Linked DNA regions of Stegostoma tigrinum. The protein of the gene in region 1 purifies or fractionates together with the protein of each later gene. This does not show direct contact. Links are inferred from orthologs where the notes say so. Each region holds a gene or a part of one and is shown on either strand. Other genes may lie near its edges.

Region 1 (7,632 bases):
GGCCACCCCCTTTGTCTGTAGGAAGTGGGAGGAATTGAAAGAGAAGTTATTGAGGGTGAGGATGAGTTCAGTTAAACGGATGAGGGTGTCAGTGGAGGGGGACTGGTCGGGCCTGCGGGACAGTGAGAAGCGGATGGCCTTCAGGCCATCTGCATGGGGAATGCAGGGTAAAGGGACTGGACGTCCATGGTGAAAGTGAGGTGTTGGGGACCGGGGAATTGGAAGTTCTGCAGGATGTGGAGGGCGTGGGTGGTGACACGGACATAGGTACGGAGTTCCTGGACCAAGGGGAAGAAAATGGAATCCACATAGGTGGAGATGAATTCAGTGGGGCAGGAGTGGGCAGAAACAATGGGTCGACCAGGGATGGCAGGTTTGTGGATTTGGTGAAGGGGATAGAAGTGGGTGGTGCGGGGTTGGGGAACGATGAAGTTGGAGGCTGGGGGTGGGAGGTCACCTGAGGTGATGAGATTGTGGATGATTTGGAAGATGATGCTTTGGTCCTCGGGGGTGGTGTCCAGGAGGGTGGTAGGTGGAGGTGTTGGAGAGTTGGCATCTGGCCTCAGTGATGTAGAGGTCAGTGCACCATTCTGCAACTGTGCCTCCTTTTTTTTTAACAGCAAGGGTCCATGGATAACAATCAAGAAACCAATATTCATTTTAAAAGTTAATTTAAAAATTGAGAGTACTTATATCTATATAATGCCTAAAAACAGAGGTACTATTTCAAAATTTGGAAACAATACTAAATTGAGAAACTGCAGTAAAATACGAGAAGACATTAAACTTAATGAATGATCTGTGTGTAAAAGTAAAATGACTTTTATTATAGGCAAGTGAGATACAAACATAAAAACAAAGAGATTAGGTGCAGGAGTAGGCCATTTGGCCCGACAAGATTGATTTGCCATTCAATAGGATCATGATTGATCCTCAATCTCAATGTCACATTCCCACTTTCTCTCCATATGCTTTGATGCCTTTAATATCTAAAAAAATCAATCTTTCCTGAATATCCCAGTGACCCAGGTTTCTGTGATACAGAATCCCACAGTTTGACCACCGTCTGAGTGAATAAATATTTCCTCATCTCAGTCCTGAATGGTATACCCCTTGTTCTGAGTCTGTGATACTTGGATTTAGACATCCAAAACAGGGGAAACCCTGGAGAATACAGGCCAGTCAAGCCAATTGCACCACATATGACAGTCTTGCTATCCCCATTTTCAGACCAGTGAACCTTCATTGAACTCCCTCTGCAGCAAATATATCTTCTGTTAGGTAGGGAGACCAAAACCGTGTAAAATACTCCAAGAGTGGTCTTACTGAGGCCTGTATTTGCAGTAAGACATCCCTATTTCTGTAGCCCAACATACTATTTGCCTTCCGAATTGCTTGCTGCACCAGTCTGTTTATACTTGCATTGATTGTCCTATAAGGACATCAAGATTGCTTTGTACATCCACATTTCCCAATATATCACCATTTGAATAACACGCGGCCGTTTTGTTTTTCATACCTAAGTGTATAATTTCACATTTCCACACATTAAACTGCATGTGCCAATGTGTTTTCCAACACAAAACTTATCTAGATCACCCTGAAGTTTCCTTCTCACTATCCCGCCTAGTTATGTGTAATCAGCAAACTTGGAAATGTTGCAGTCAGTTCTCTCATCCAAGTAATTTATAAAAATTGTGAATAGTTAGGGTCCAGGCACTAACTCCTGCCTCACACATCTCATGCCTGCCTGCCACCTGGGAAAAAGACACATTTATTTTCAGTCTGCTTCTGGTCTGTCAGCCAGTTCTCAGGCAATGTGGCATAATTTGGTCAGAAGAACAAGGAGGCCATGTCCTTGGAAAATAAGTGTTTGATTTGGTGAGGATAACAGAGAAATTGAAGCACTTCCAATTTCCCCTGCCGTCACTTTCACCTGGTCTACCTCTGACTCCTCCCTTCCCTTCCTTGACATCTGTTTCCATTTCTGGGGATAGACTGCACACTAATATAGACTATAAACCCACTGACTTCCACAGTTACCTGGACTATACACCCCGCTTCCTGTAAAGGCTCCGTCCTAATCTCTCAGTTCCTCTGTCTCCGTGGTGTATGTTCTGATGCTAACTTTGACAAGGGAGCCTCCAAAATGTCCACATTCTTCCCCAACCGAGGATTCTCCAGCACTGTTGTCGACAGGGCCCTCAACTTGGTCTTACACATCTCTCGCACTTCTGCAGTCACCCCTTCTCTTCCCTCTCGCAACAGCAATAGGGATCCCCTTGTCCTTACCTACCATCTCACCAGCATCCACATCCAGAAGATCATCGGGCGCCTTTTCCATCACCTCCAGCATGTATTCCACTCCCATCCCTGGTCTGCCTTTCAGAGGGACAGTTCCCTCCGGGAAACCCTAGTTCACTCTTCTGTCACCCCAACTGCCCCCCATGGTCCCACGGCACCTTTCTCTGCATCCGGCGAAGGTGTAACACCTGCCCATTTATCTCCTCCCTCCCCACTATCTAAGGGCTCAAACATACCTTCCAGGTGATGCAATACTTCACCTGCACTTCCCAGAATCTAGTCTACTGCATTTGCTGCTCACAATGTGAGCTCTGCTACATTGGGAAAACAAAGTGTAGCCTAGGTAACGACTTTGCAGAACATCTACGTTTTGCTCGCAAAAAAGACCCTGAGCTGCCACTTTGCTGCCTGCCACTTTAATACACCACCCTGTTCCCTGGCCAACATCTCTGTCTCTGGCTTGCTGCAGTGTTCCAGCGAAGCTCAGTGCAAGCTGGAAGAACAACACCTCATTTTCCACTTGGGGACCCTGCAGCCTTCTGGACTCAATACTGAGTTCAATAATTTTAGGGCCTAGACTCTCTCATGTCCCAGCCCCCTACCCCGCACACCAGGCCTTGTTACATCACATAGCTTGCCATTACACACTACTGACTGTTAGTCAGTAACAGTCCTCATTAACAGTTGTGAGGAAGGGTCACCAGACCCGAAACGTTAACTCTTTTCTCTCCTCCACAGATGCTGCCAGACCTGCTGAGCTTTTCCAGCGACTTTGTTTTTGTTCCTCATTAACAACTATTAGCCCTACCAGCCAGATCGTTATCAACTCCTTTGTCGATCCAACTACTCTTTCTCTCTTTGGGATCTATCCTTTATCCCATCATTTACACCTTAACCCCCATTTTCTGCATATAAATTGACTTTTTGTTAGCTAGCGTAAGTTCTGAGGAAGGGTGACTTTGATTTTTTTCGTCACAGATGCTGCCAGAAAAGCTGAGCTTTCCCAGCAACTTGTTTTTGTTCCTGATTTACAGCATCTGCAGTTCTTTTGGTTTTTATTTATTGTTGATCTCGCTCTTTCTACATCTTCTAGCCAGAGACTATTTCCCAGGGCAGAAATGGCTAGCACGAGGGGTCATAGTTTTAAGCTGGTTGGTGGAAAGTATAGAGGGGATGTCAGAGGCAGGTTCTTTACGCAGAGAGTTGTGAGAGCATGGAATGCATTGCCAGCAGCAGTTGTGGAAGCAAGGTCATTGGGGTCATTTAAGAGACTGCTGGACATGCATATGGTCACAGAAATTTGAGGGTGCATACATGAGGATCAATGGTCGGCACAACATTGTGGGCTGAAGGGCCTGTTCTGTGCTGTACTGTTCTATGTTCTATGTTCTATGTTCTCTACAGCCAGATTCTATTTCTGTAATGCACTTTGTATGGTATGATCTGCCTGTAATGCATGCTAAACAAAAGTTTTCACTGTATCTATGTACAAGTGACAGTAATAAATCAAATTGAAAAGAATAACACTAGAACTTGAGAGTTATGCCTATCCAAAACAAAACAAACTGAGTCTCTATAAGAATATGAAAGCAGTTGACAGGGCAGATGTACCAAGGATGTTTCCAGGTGCCATAACAATGACAGTCATGAATCTTCGAGGAAATTTAACCAAAAAGTGAAATTAAGATTCTGCGGTCTCTGCTCAAGGTCAATAGCTCGAATGAAGTGAAGGAGAAGCTAGGTAATTACGTGAGGACAAAAGTAATAGGACGAAATGATAAAGGTTGGAAGCAAGCTCCTCTGCAGCATCCATACCATCAGTTTCTGAGGTCACCGGACCCGACACGTTAACTCTGATTTTTTTCTTCACAGATGCTTGCAGACCTGCTGAGCTTTTCCAGCAACTCCTCTGATCGCATCAGCTCGGCTGAATAAGTTTGTTGCCGTATAAACTACATTTCCCAGGATGCAGCAAGAACAGACGGACCAAGAGGTGGATTGGTTGTTCCCAGGTCACATGGGAAAGAGGCTTCTGCTCATTAATTGGTCTCGACGAGGGGTCTCTGATGGCAATCCAGTGGGAGGAGCCAATAGGCGGCCCGTATATGCAGGGGCGGAGCTAACGGGTCGGAGCCGCCACAAAAGGATCAGAGGCGGCCGCGCGCCCCTAAAAAAGAAGCGAGGCGGAGGACAGAGAATCTTTGAATCTTACCAACCAGAGCTAGCCCACCGAAACCGGGGTGGGGATCCTGCCACCGAGATACCATCCCTGGGATCATGATGAAGTTTCGGTTCCGACGGCCGGGCAACGACCCGCAGCGGGAGAAACTAAAACTGGAGCTTTTCGCCTTCAATAAGGTGGGTGCGTGGGTGAGGGGAGGGGAGGGGAGGCCAAGGGCCTGGGGGTTGGGGAGGATAAGGGTGGTGGGGGATAGGGTATAGTGGAGGGTGGGGAGGGAGGAAGGAGGGACGGTCGAAGGGGGATGGGGTGTAGAGGAGGGGGCGTGGGTAAGTGGGAGATGAAACTATATTTTAACCTTTGGGTGACAGAGCCAGTAATCCAGAGGTCTGAACTAGTGACCTAAAGATTTGTTCAAATCTCAGCATAATAGCCGGCGACTTTAAATTCTCAACTGATGCTAGTGCTGGCAATGATAGCCATAAAGCGAGTAATTAATGTAACAACTGATGCTCACTTTCGGGGAGGAGCCTGCCATCAATTGCCATGTACAGGTATAGGCTCACTGTTAACTTGTTCAACAAATGGTCTATCAAGCCACCTGCTTGTAATTCTGAAGACAGTTCATCATTGCTACTTTTTCAAAGGCCATGAGCCATGGACAGTAAATGTTGGTCTGGTCTCTGATGCCCACACTGTGCCAATGCAACTAATTCTTGCCAGTGACCCTCAAAGAGGGTCTCGTGTTCCTCTGCACCTATCTTCTGATTAATTTTGCCTTACAGGTGTTTCACCTCAACCTTGGCTTTAACTTCAGTGCTTCTTTTTTAAAAAGTCAGGTTATTAATTTTGGTTATTGTGAGATGCCTGGCAAGGCTCCTTACGTAAAGGAAAGGAGAGAACTGCAGTGAGATCATGTGTCCTGAGAGCTGGTTTTAGAGTGGCAGTGATTTATTGGCCTTTGCATTGCTTGACAAGCTTGATTGTGACATGCTTAATTAATTTTGTGGTGGTACTTTAAGCAATAACTATCTATATTAGCACACTTTGGTAATGTCCAACTTGAACTGTAAATTGAAGAGTAAAGTCACAGATTTCATTTCAGCATTGAATGCTTGGATGCCTCTAACAAAGTTCAGAATTGGAGCACTTAACAAATGTGACCAGAAACTATGTACTTTCCAAAACAATGGCATTTCTTCACTGGATGGGCATTGGATGTCCCAAGCTTTAGAGCACACTTGTCATGTAGCCCTGAATCTTGGGGTGGGGGGGAAGCCAGTTTGTGCAACATTTGATTGAGGGCACCTCTTTGCACTGGAACATCACTTTGGGCAAACCAACAATACCTTTCACTGTGGTGCTGGCCTTCCAGGTGCAGAGATTTATCTCTGAGCCTTCCAAAGTACAGCCCATAGCGCAGGAAATGCTTCATCGCTGTGCTGCATCAGGACCATCCTCGACTATAATACCACATTGCTGCCAGACCTTCTATGCATAGGCATGTTCCAGAAGGGGTGCCAGCTTAACGACAGTGTGCAGTGCTGCAAAGTCCAGATGTGTGTAAAAGTTGTGTCGGGCTGCACCTGGTGTTTGTGCACAGAAGGCTTTAGCACAGTTTAGAAAGCATTTTGTGCTATTGCACATGTCTTTTCACCATCCCACTTCCAAATCTCTCTTGTAAATGTTGTTCTCACAGCAGACATACTTTGCAAGATGAGATAGCAAGAACTGTAGATGCTGGCGTCAGATAAATGTGGAGCTGGAGGAGCACATCAGGCCAGGCATCATCAGAGGAACAGGAAAGTTCATGTTTCTGGTCAGGACCCTTCTTCAGAAATGGGAGGACGTGAGCTGGAAAATAAACAGGAGAGGTGGGGCTGGTGAAGGTATGTGGGATGGTGTTGAGTGAATGCAGGTAGGGAGTGGTGGGCATTGGTCAGTGGGATGGTTGGGGTAGATAGGTGGGAGATAAGACAGACAGGTTGTGTGACATCAAGGAGATGGGGATGAGGGCAGGGGTGGGGAGATTTTAAAACTGCTAAATTACATATTTGGGCCATGGGGCTGTAGGTTTGTGAGGTGGAATGTGAAGTGTTGTCTGCCAGGTTCCAGGCGTTGTCATTGTAGCACTGGAGGAGGCCTGGGATGGTCATGTCACCCAGGGTGTGGAAGTGGGAGTTAACAGTTGGCAACTGGAAGGTGATATTGTTTGTTGAGTGAAGGGAGCAGATGCCCTATGAAACAGTCTCCAAGTCTTGCTTGGCCTTGCTGATGTAGAGAAGGCCACATTGGGAGCTGTGGATACAGTAGACCAAGTTGGCATGTGCAGGTGATCCCCTGTTGGATATGAAAGGTTTGTTCAGGCCCTTGGAGTGCTATGAGAATAAGGGGATTCTGTCTTTATTTTCATTGGAGCCATGAGGATGAGGGGGCAGGACTGTGGGAAACAGAAGATGTGGTTGAGGTAACAAAGTGTGGAGCTGGATGAACACAGCAGGCCAAGCAGCATCTCAGGAGCACAAAAGCTGATGTTTCTGGCCTAGACCTAGAAGGGCCTAGGCCCGAAAGGTCAGCTTTTGTGCTCCTTAGATGCTGCTTGGCCTGCTGTGTTCATCCAGCTTCACACTTTGCACCTTGGATTCTCCAGCATCTGCAGTTCTCATTATCACTGATACAATGTGGTTGAGGTCATTTTTCTTCACTGAAGGAGGAAGTTACAGCCCTAATGTCAAAGGAAATCATAACACTTTTCAAGATGTTTGCTCACTCCTGTGTTTTGACACTGGCTACTTTTCATGCAGGAGCTCTGACTGTGATTCTCAGTTGACCTGTTTAGCTGTTAAGAACCCCTACAGTGTGAAAACAGGCCCTTTGACCCAGTAAGTCCACACTGACCCTTGGTGCATCCCACTCAGACCCATCCCTCTTTACCCACCTAATCGACAGACCCCTGAACACTGAGCAATTTAGCTTAGCCAATCCACCTAACCTGCACATTTTTGGACTGTGGGAGCAAACCGGAGTACCCAGAGGAAACCCATGCAGACATGGGGAGAATGTGCAAACTCCACACGCAGTCGCCCGAGGGTGGAATTGAACCCGGGTCTCCGGTATTGTGAGGCAGCAGTGCTAACCACTGAGCTACC
Region 2 (7,618 bases), on another chromosome or scaffold:
GTTCTCTATGGCCAGGATCCAGGGACCTGAAGGTTGAGTTGCCTGCCAGGTTCCCAGGTTCAGGATATCTCAGCTGAGCTGCAAAGAGGCTTGGAGTGGTAGTGGAATGATCCAGTTGGCACGGTCCACATAGGTACCAATGTTAATTGGTAGAAAGAGGGCATAGAGCAGCTCGGGGACAAATTAAAACTCAGAACCAAAAAGATGATAATCTCCAGATTACTACATGAGCCACAGGCTAACTGATACAGGTGCAACAAGATTAAAGAGGTAAACGTGTGGTTCAAAGACTGGTATCGGAGAAATGGGTTCAAATTTATTGAACATTGGCACCAGTCCTGGGCAATGAGGGAACTGTTCAGATGGGACAGGCTCCACCTGAATCATGCTGGGCACAGTCTTGGTGAATCACATAACTATGACTTTAAACTAAATAGCAATGGGGGGGAAGGGGTTCAATTGCAATTATGTAGAAAATTATGGAAAAAGTTTAAGGCTGAGGGTAGGACTCAGCAGAGGTTATTAAAGTTTCCAGAATAAATAATAAGACAAAGAGGATGGAAAGTGTCAGGAATCCAACTTCAGGTATAGCAGATATGGGGACAACTATGAGAAGTGGCAGCGATGGAGTGGAATTAACACAGGACTGAGGGTGTTGTACGAAAATGCATGCAGCATATGAAACAAGGTAAATAAGCTTTTGCACAGTTTGAAATTGACAGGTACAATGTTGTGGGGATCACAGAGATGTGGCTGCAAGAGGAACAGGGCTAGGAACTAAATATTCAAAGATACATGTCCTATGGAAAGAACAGGCAGATGGGCACAGGGGGCTGAGCAGTCTTGTTAGTAATAAATGAAATTAAATCAATAGCAAGAAGTGATATAGAGCAAGACATGTAATCTGTATTGAGGAATGGCAAAGGAGAAAATCACATGACTCCAGCAGTAGTCGGGATTTGGGGAAGAAAATAAATCAGCAGATAGAAAGGACACATTAGGAAAGGCACTTTTACAAAAATGATGGGTACTCCAAAATGCACGTAGACTGGGAAAAGCAGGTTGGTAGCAGATCCCAAGGAAAGGAATTTGTAGAATGTCTACAATATGGTCCTTTGATGCAGCTTGTAGCAGACCCCAGTAGGGAACAGGCAACTATAGATTTGGTGATGTATAATGAGGCACACTTGATTAGGCAGCTAAAGGTGAAGAAACCCCATGAGGCAGTGATCGTAATACGATAGAATTCACTCTGCAGTTTGAGGGAGAGAAACTGGAATCAGATGTAATGGTATTATAATCGAGTAAAGATAACAACAAAGACATGCTCCGGAAGCTGGCCAGAGTTAGTTGGAAGGGGAGCCCAGGAGAGCAGGCAGTGGGGCAGCAACAGCAGGAGTTTTTAGGGGTGATGTGGGAGTCACAGCAGAAATTCATCCTAAGGAAGAAGAAACAAGGCAACTGTGGCTGACAAGGGATGTCACAGACAGCATAAAAGCAAAAACAAAATGATGTGGTGAAGATTAGTGAGCAGCCAGAGGGTTGGGAAACCTTTTAAAACCAGCAATAACTAAAAGCACAATAAGAGGGGAGAAGATGAAATATGAGGCCAAGCTAGTTAGTAACAAATTAAGACTACAAAAGTATTTTCAGATATGTAAGAGGTAAAAGAGTGGCACGAATGTGTAATGATTGCAATGAGGTCAGCCAGGTGGACTTCAAAGAATATGAGTTCCCTGATTGGGGCTGATAATCTGGTTCAAGCAGGGATCCCTTGCTGACAGGTAAAAACAGAAGTGTCAGATATCCCAACACTCTGGGAGTTGACTCTTTTGAGGCTGTACCACCGTCAAGGACTTTCCATGTGTAAATAATGGGTGACTTTGTGATGGGATATCTGCCTGTCTGTAGTTATTTCAGAGTGGACTCAAGAGAATCAGGGGGCAGAGGTAAGCATCATTAAAGAGAAGGTGCTGGGGAAGCTAAAAGGTCTGAAAGTGGATAAATCATCCAGACCAGATGGACTACACCCCAGGGTTCTGAAGAGGATAGCTGAGGAGATTGTGGAGGCATTAGTGCTGATCTTCCAGCCATCAGTGGAGTCAGGGAGCACCCACGGGACTGGGAAAAGACTAATGTAATACCTCTGTTTAAGAAGGCAGGGAGACAGAAGACAAGAAAACATAGGCTAGTTAAGTCCAATTATTAAGGATGAGTTTGCAGAGTACATGAAAGTGCATGGTAGAATAGGGCTGTGTCAGGACAGCTTTGTCAAGGGCAGGTCATGCCAGACAAATCTGTTAGAATTCTGTGAGGAGTAACAAGCAAGTTAGACGAAGGAGAGTCAGCAGATTATGTATTTGGATTTCCAGGAGGTCTATGACAGTGTGCTGCACAGGTTGCTGTTAAATGAGTCCTGACAGAGGCAAGGTACTGGCATAGACAAACAATTGGCTGACTTATAGAAGGCAGAGAGTGGAGATAAAAGCATCGTTTTCATTATTGGTTGGGGATCCAACTCTCATTTTTGTGATAGTTTGATTCCTGTGGTACTGTATCAATTACAGATTCATATAGAAAATGGTCTGTTATCCCAACTCTCTATTTCCTGTTGAATTACCAATCCTCAATCCATGTTAATATATTATCCCAACACCTCAAGCTGTTATCTTGTGCAATAACATCTTTAGGTGGCACCTTTCTGAGCACCTTTTGGTTCAAGTTCACTACATCTGCTAGAGATAATGGGAACTGCAGATGCTGGAGAATTCCAAGATAATAAAATGTAAGGCTGGATGAACACAGCAGGCCAAGCAGCATCTCAGGAGCACAAAAGCTGACGTTTCGGGCCTAGACCCTTCATCAGAGGACCCTCTGATGAAGGGTCTAGGCCCGAAACGTCAGCTTTTGTGCTCCTGAGATGCTGCTTGGCCTGCTCTGATGAAGGGTCTAGGCCCGAAACGTCAGCTTTTGTGCTCCTGAGATGCTGCTTGGCCTGCTGTGTTCATCCAGCCTCACATTTTATTATCACTACATCTGCTAGTTCTCTTTTATTTATCCTGTTTATCACATTCTGAAATCATCAAATAAAATGTCAAAAATCATTTCCCTATAATAAAATTATGCTCACTCAGATCGATAGTGCTATAGCTTTCTAAAGGTCCTACTTCTATTTGCTTGGATTTATACTTTCCCAATCTCAATTTCTGATGGGATCAACGTTAATTACACTCTTCCGTTGTAGAACTCTAGCTGTTTTTATATCTCGACAGTCACTATTTTTTTTCCCTCTCCAAGAGCTTAAGTCAATGTGCGATGGCGACGGAGTAGGGAAGAACATTCGGGAAGGAAAATTGAGTTTTAACAGTTGAGAACGACTAGGGTCTGGAAAGGACCAACAAAACGGGGGAAAAATTCTGAAAACTTTAAAATCGTTAGTGAAACTGATTTTAATTAGCTTCGGCCGCAAGCATTTGATCGAAGAATGAAAATCAAATAATACAAAGCATAAAATCCACAACATTAACTAAAGGTCCTTTAAATAGCATCTGAAAAGAGAATATTCATTTCTAAGGTGATGATGCGGACTAAGTCTTTCATTTTAGGCTTTCTTACATTTATCAGTAAAGTTAGGATAATTATGCCGAACAGATAGCAGAAGTTTCAAACTTGTTCACTGAACTTTGAAAAACTTTTGCTTCAGCTGTTACTCTTGGGATGTCATCCCAGACACCTACTTGATACCTGCTTCCTCAAGGCATGTCTGACACCTGGACGCGCGATGGTGTCAACCACCGCCGGGGGCGCGCGCTTTTAAAAATGCACGAAGGCCGGGCGGACAAGGGAACTAAAGAGTAGGAGCTGCAGCTGCTGAAGAATCTGAGATAACAAGGTGTAAGAGCTGGATGAACACAGCAAGTCAAGCAACATCAAAGGGGCAGGAAAGCTGATGTTTCGGGCCCAGATCCTTCTTCAGACAATAGAATGAACGGGTGTCCGCTCGAAATAATGCAGCGGGTTGAGTGCGCGTACACACACAGGTGAAACCGAGGCTGGGTTTCCGGGGCGAGTGACGTCATCTGGTAACGAAGTCGGAGTTTGCCGGTCGTTAGGAGGGGGCGCGAGGCTGAGCTGCGGGTGGGTGGAGGAGGAACTGGGCACGCGCAGCCGCTACTAACCGGCTGGAGGCGGCGGAACCAGTGTTCGAACGAGTTTGGCGAGGGTCTGAGATTAGTCCCGGATCTTTTACGTACTTTACCCCCACCATCTCCCTCATTGCACTCGGGCCGATTCAAATTGCTGCCCTTGGAAGATCGGGCGAGCAGTTGGCACGAAAACGGCCAACAAACGTTCTTCCGAAAATGATCAAGACTCATCACCGGACGGCGTCCAGAAGCCTGGAGACCGTGGAGGTGAAGAGTAAGGTGTGTGTGTATAAGGAGGCGCAATGTCCGAGGAAAGGCGGAGGGAACTTCGTGCTTTGCCAGTCAGTAGTTGTAGGGAAATTAATACCACGGCCCCGGCTAATGTTGGCATAGGATCTGTCAGCAGGCTGCTGAGGTCAAGGTTCAATCTGACGGTCAGATACAGGCCTGTTCCAAAAGGAGATTTTAGAGCAATATTTTATGTTCTTTTCTACGGTTTGTTTATTGGGAGTTGGAACAGGTGACAGTACAGTTCAAGGAAGTAATAAAGGCGTCGAGATCTTTCAGAGAACAGCCGGCGGCGGTAACAAGTTTTTGTGCAGTTCATTGCGTGTTATTTTAATGCTTCTTGCTTTTGTAAGAAATTTCGTAGTAAAGAGGCTTGTAAATGCCAACACAAAGCAATTAGCGATGTAGCTAAAATTCGTGTTCCCATAAGGATTTGTCTGGAAGCTGGTTAAAATGGAAAGGGAATTTGACGATCCTATGTAAGTTGATCGGTTTCAGCCCAAAAAGAAAGCAATCTGCACTAGATGCACACAGGCTTATAAAAATTTTCTTGTTGTTTGTCAGATCTTACTAACTTGTGTTTTATTTCAATGTGAATTAATGTATTTAAAATAAACAGAATTAAGTGTATTAAGTTGTCAGAATGAAAATTTTTGACTGGTTTTTTGACAGAAACCTACTTTGTGTGCAAACAATTTGGCTATTTTATTGTAATATTAGCAATCATTGCCTGTCTGAATAGACTTAACTACATCCAAAACTCTCTCATCGCATAAATGGCTTGATCACAACTTCCTTAATTAGACCATGTTTCCTATGTACTTAAATGTTTATCTACTGATGCCCAGAGTGGATGGGCTCCCAATTTATCCCAATCACAAAACAACTTGAATGTGTAAGAAATCCATATGTTTCTGTTGAAGTGGAAGGTAGTAAATATACTAATGTTATATTTGCTTCAAATTGAATGTATTGGTAATTTATTAAGCAACTTGACAAAAGTGATCAATGTTTTAGGGTTAGGATCCTTCTTCAGTCCTGACTATATTGACTCTGCCTCCAGCATCTGCCTCAGCCACCAGTTCTTGCTATCTCTGAAGAACAATGAAGATTTCTAGCATTGTAAAATTGTCTGATGTAGAAAATTTAATGATTAAATGTCAGATAGCTGGTCCAAGAGTTAGTTGAAGAAAGGAAGTGGTGTAATAATGACCATGAGCTTCTGTTATTTGTTGGAGAAACCAATCTGGTTCGCTAATGTCCTGTAAGGAAAGAAATTGCCATCCTTCCCTGATTTGATCTAAATGTGACTCCAGACCCTCAACAACATAGTTGATGGTTAACTACCAACTGGATGATTAGTGATGGGCAGTAAATGCTAGCCTACCCAGTGACATACGTATCCCAAAATGAATTTTTTTTAAAAAAAGAAAATATTAAAGTGATAACGTCTTGTATATTCTCAGTTAAGTGATCTGATTCAGGGTGTTACTTTTAGTTTATTTTATTGGCTTCTGTTCTGTTCATAATATTTTGGATGCATTGAATTCGTTGCCTTTTCCAACTCCCCTAGTTTTAAAATACATGATATCCTTTTCAGACTTCAAACATCTAGGATATTGTCATGTCTATAGGTGAACTGGAGTATTTGCTCTTTTAAAACCTTTGTAGAAACAAACCACGATCACTTCATCAACCTCTGGATTCAATGCATCATTCTCCGCCTGTTCCACCATCTACAATCTGACCCACTGCCAAGGATATATTTCCCTCCCCAGCCTTATCTGCCTTCTGGAGGGACTGCTCCGTGTGACTCCCTTGTCCGCTCCACACTCCCCACTAGCCCCACCAGCCCTAACATTTTTCCCTGCAACCGCAAGACTTGCCACACCTGCCCCTACACCTATCCCTACACCTACCCCCTCACCTCCATCCCAGGCCCCAAGAAAATCTTCCACATCAAACAGATGTTCACTTGCACATCTGCTAATGTGGCATATTGTACCCGTTGTTCCCAAAGTGGCCTCCTCTGCATTGGGGAAACTAAGCAGAGGCTTGGACACTGCTTTTGTGGAGCACCTATGCTCAGTTTGTGACAAACAACAACACCTCCCAGCCACGAACCACTTCAGCTCCCCTCCCACTCCTTGGACGACATGCCCATCCTGGGCCTCCTCCATGATGCCACTCGAAGGCTGGAGAAAAAGCACCTCCTATTCCGCTTGGGAACTCTGCAGCCTAATGGTCTCAATGTGGTCTTCACAAGCTTCAAAAGCTCCCCAACCCTGACCTCATCCCAAGACCTGGTTCATCCCCGCCTCCTCGACCTGTCAGCTTTCTCTCCCACCTACTCGCCCCTCCCTCCCTTCCTCCCTCCCTCACTGACCAACCCCCATCCCAACTCCCTACCTACACTCACCCTTACTGGCGTCATTCCTGCCTCCTTGACCTGTCCATCTTCTCTTCACCTATCTGCTCCTCTATCCACCTTCTATCATTGACTCCCCTCTCTCTATTTATTTCAGAGCGCCTTCTCCTCTCCCATTTCTGAAAAAGGGTTCAGACCTGAAAGGTCAGCTTTTCTGCTCCTCTGATGCTGCCTGGCCTAGTGTGCTCATCCAGCTCTACAGCTTGTTATCTCAGATTCTCCAGCATCGACAGTTCCTACTATCTCTAAACAAATAAAATGTTAATTTTGATAGACTGTAGAATTATGGTCTGTAACAGTTGCATTCTAAGTTCCAGATTGGATTGTGTTAGTGCATAATTATCATTGAGCTTCGTGCATTGATCTGTGGAGTTAAATTACATGGGTTAAGATTTTAAAGCCCTCCCACCCATGGTTGTCTTTTAGAAGGCAGCACTTTATTTGTTAATCTGTGATTAGCACTGATACCTGGCTCCCTCTCTGTATGAGCAGCTGTAATATTGTTAGAGCTTAACTATGAAATCTAAATGCAGAAATTCATATGAGACACAAAATGACACTCATTTTATAAATTCTATTTGAGGTGTTTTTCTTAGCTCTCTAAAGTTATTGATTTTCCACTGTGAAGAAATATTTATATTTAAAGAAAGCGTTTTTCACAGTTTGTGATATTTTGTTCAGTTACATAGTAATGTCACCCAATTGAAGGCAAGTGAAGATAATGACTTTTGCCTCTATTTAACTGTAAATAACATTA

The links.
Region 2: the proteins of llgl1 (region 1) and pard6b purify together in Homo sapiens (affinity purification with mass spectrometry; 5 studies listed by BioGRID and IntAct, counting the BioPlex papers as one, with this or other methods). This does not show direct contact. The link is inferred for Stegostoma tigrinum from reciprocal best matches to the Homo sapiens genes LLGL1 and PARD6B.

The regions. Positions count from the first base shown.
Region 1 is NC_081376.1:25,394,766-25,402,397, reverse strand, and holds the start of llgl1 (lethal(2) giant larvae protein homolog 1), read left to right. Parts: upstream 1-4,410; 5' UTR 4,411-4,581; coding exon 4,582-4,662; intron 4,663-7,632. UniProt on the Homo sapiens protein: Cortical cytoskeleton protein found in a complex involved in maintaining cell polarity and epithelial integrity. Involved in the regulation of mitotic spindle orientation, proliferation, differentiation and tissue organization of neuroepithelial cells.
Region 2 is NC_081372.1:40,635,510-40,643,127, forward strand, and holds the start of pard6b (partitioning defective 6 homolog beta), read left to right. Parts: upstream 1-4,174; 5' UTR 4,175-4,361; coding exon 4,362-4,424; intron 4,425-7,618. UniProt on the Homo sapiens protein: Adapter protein involved in asymmetrical cell division and cell polarization processes. Probably involved in formation of epithelial tight junctions.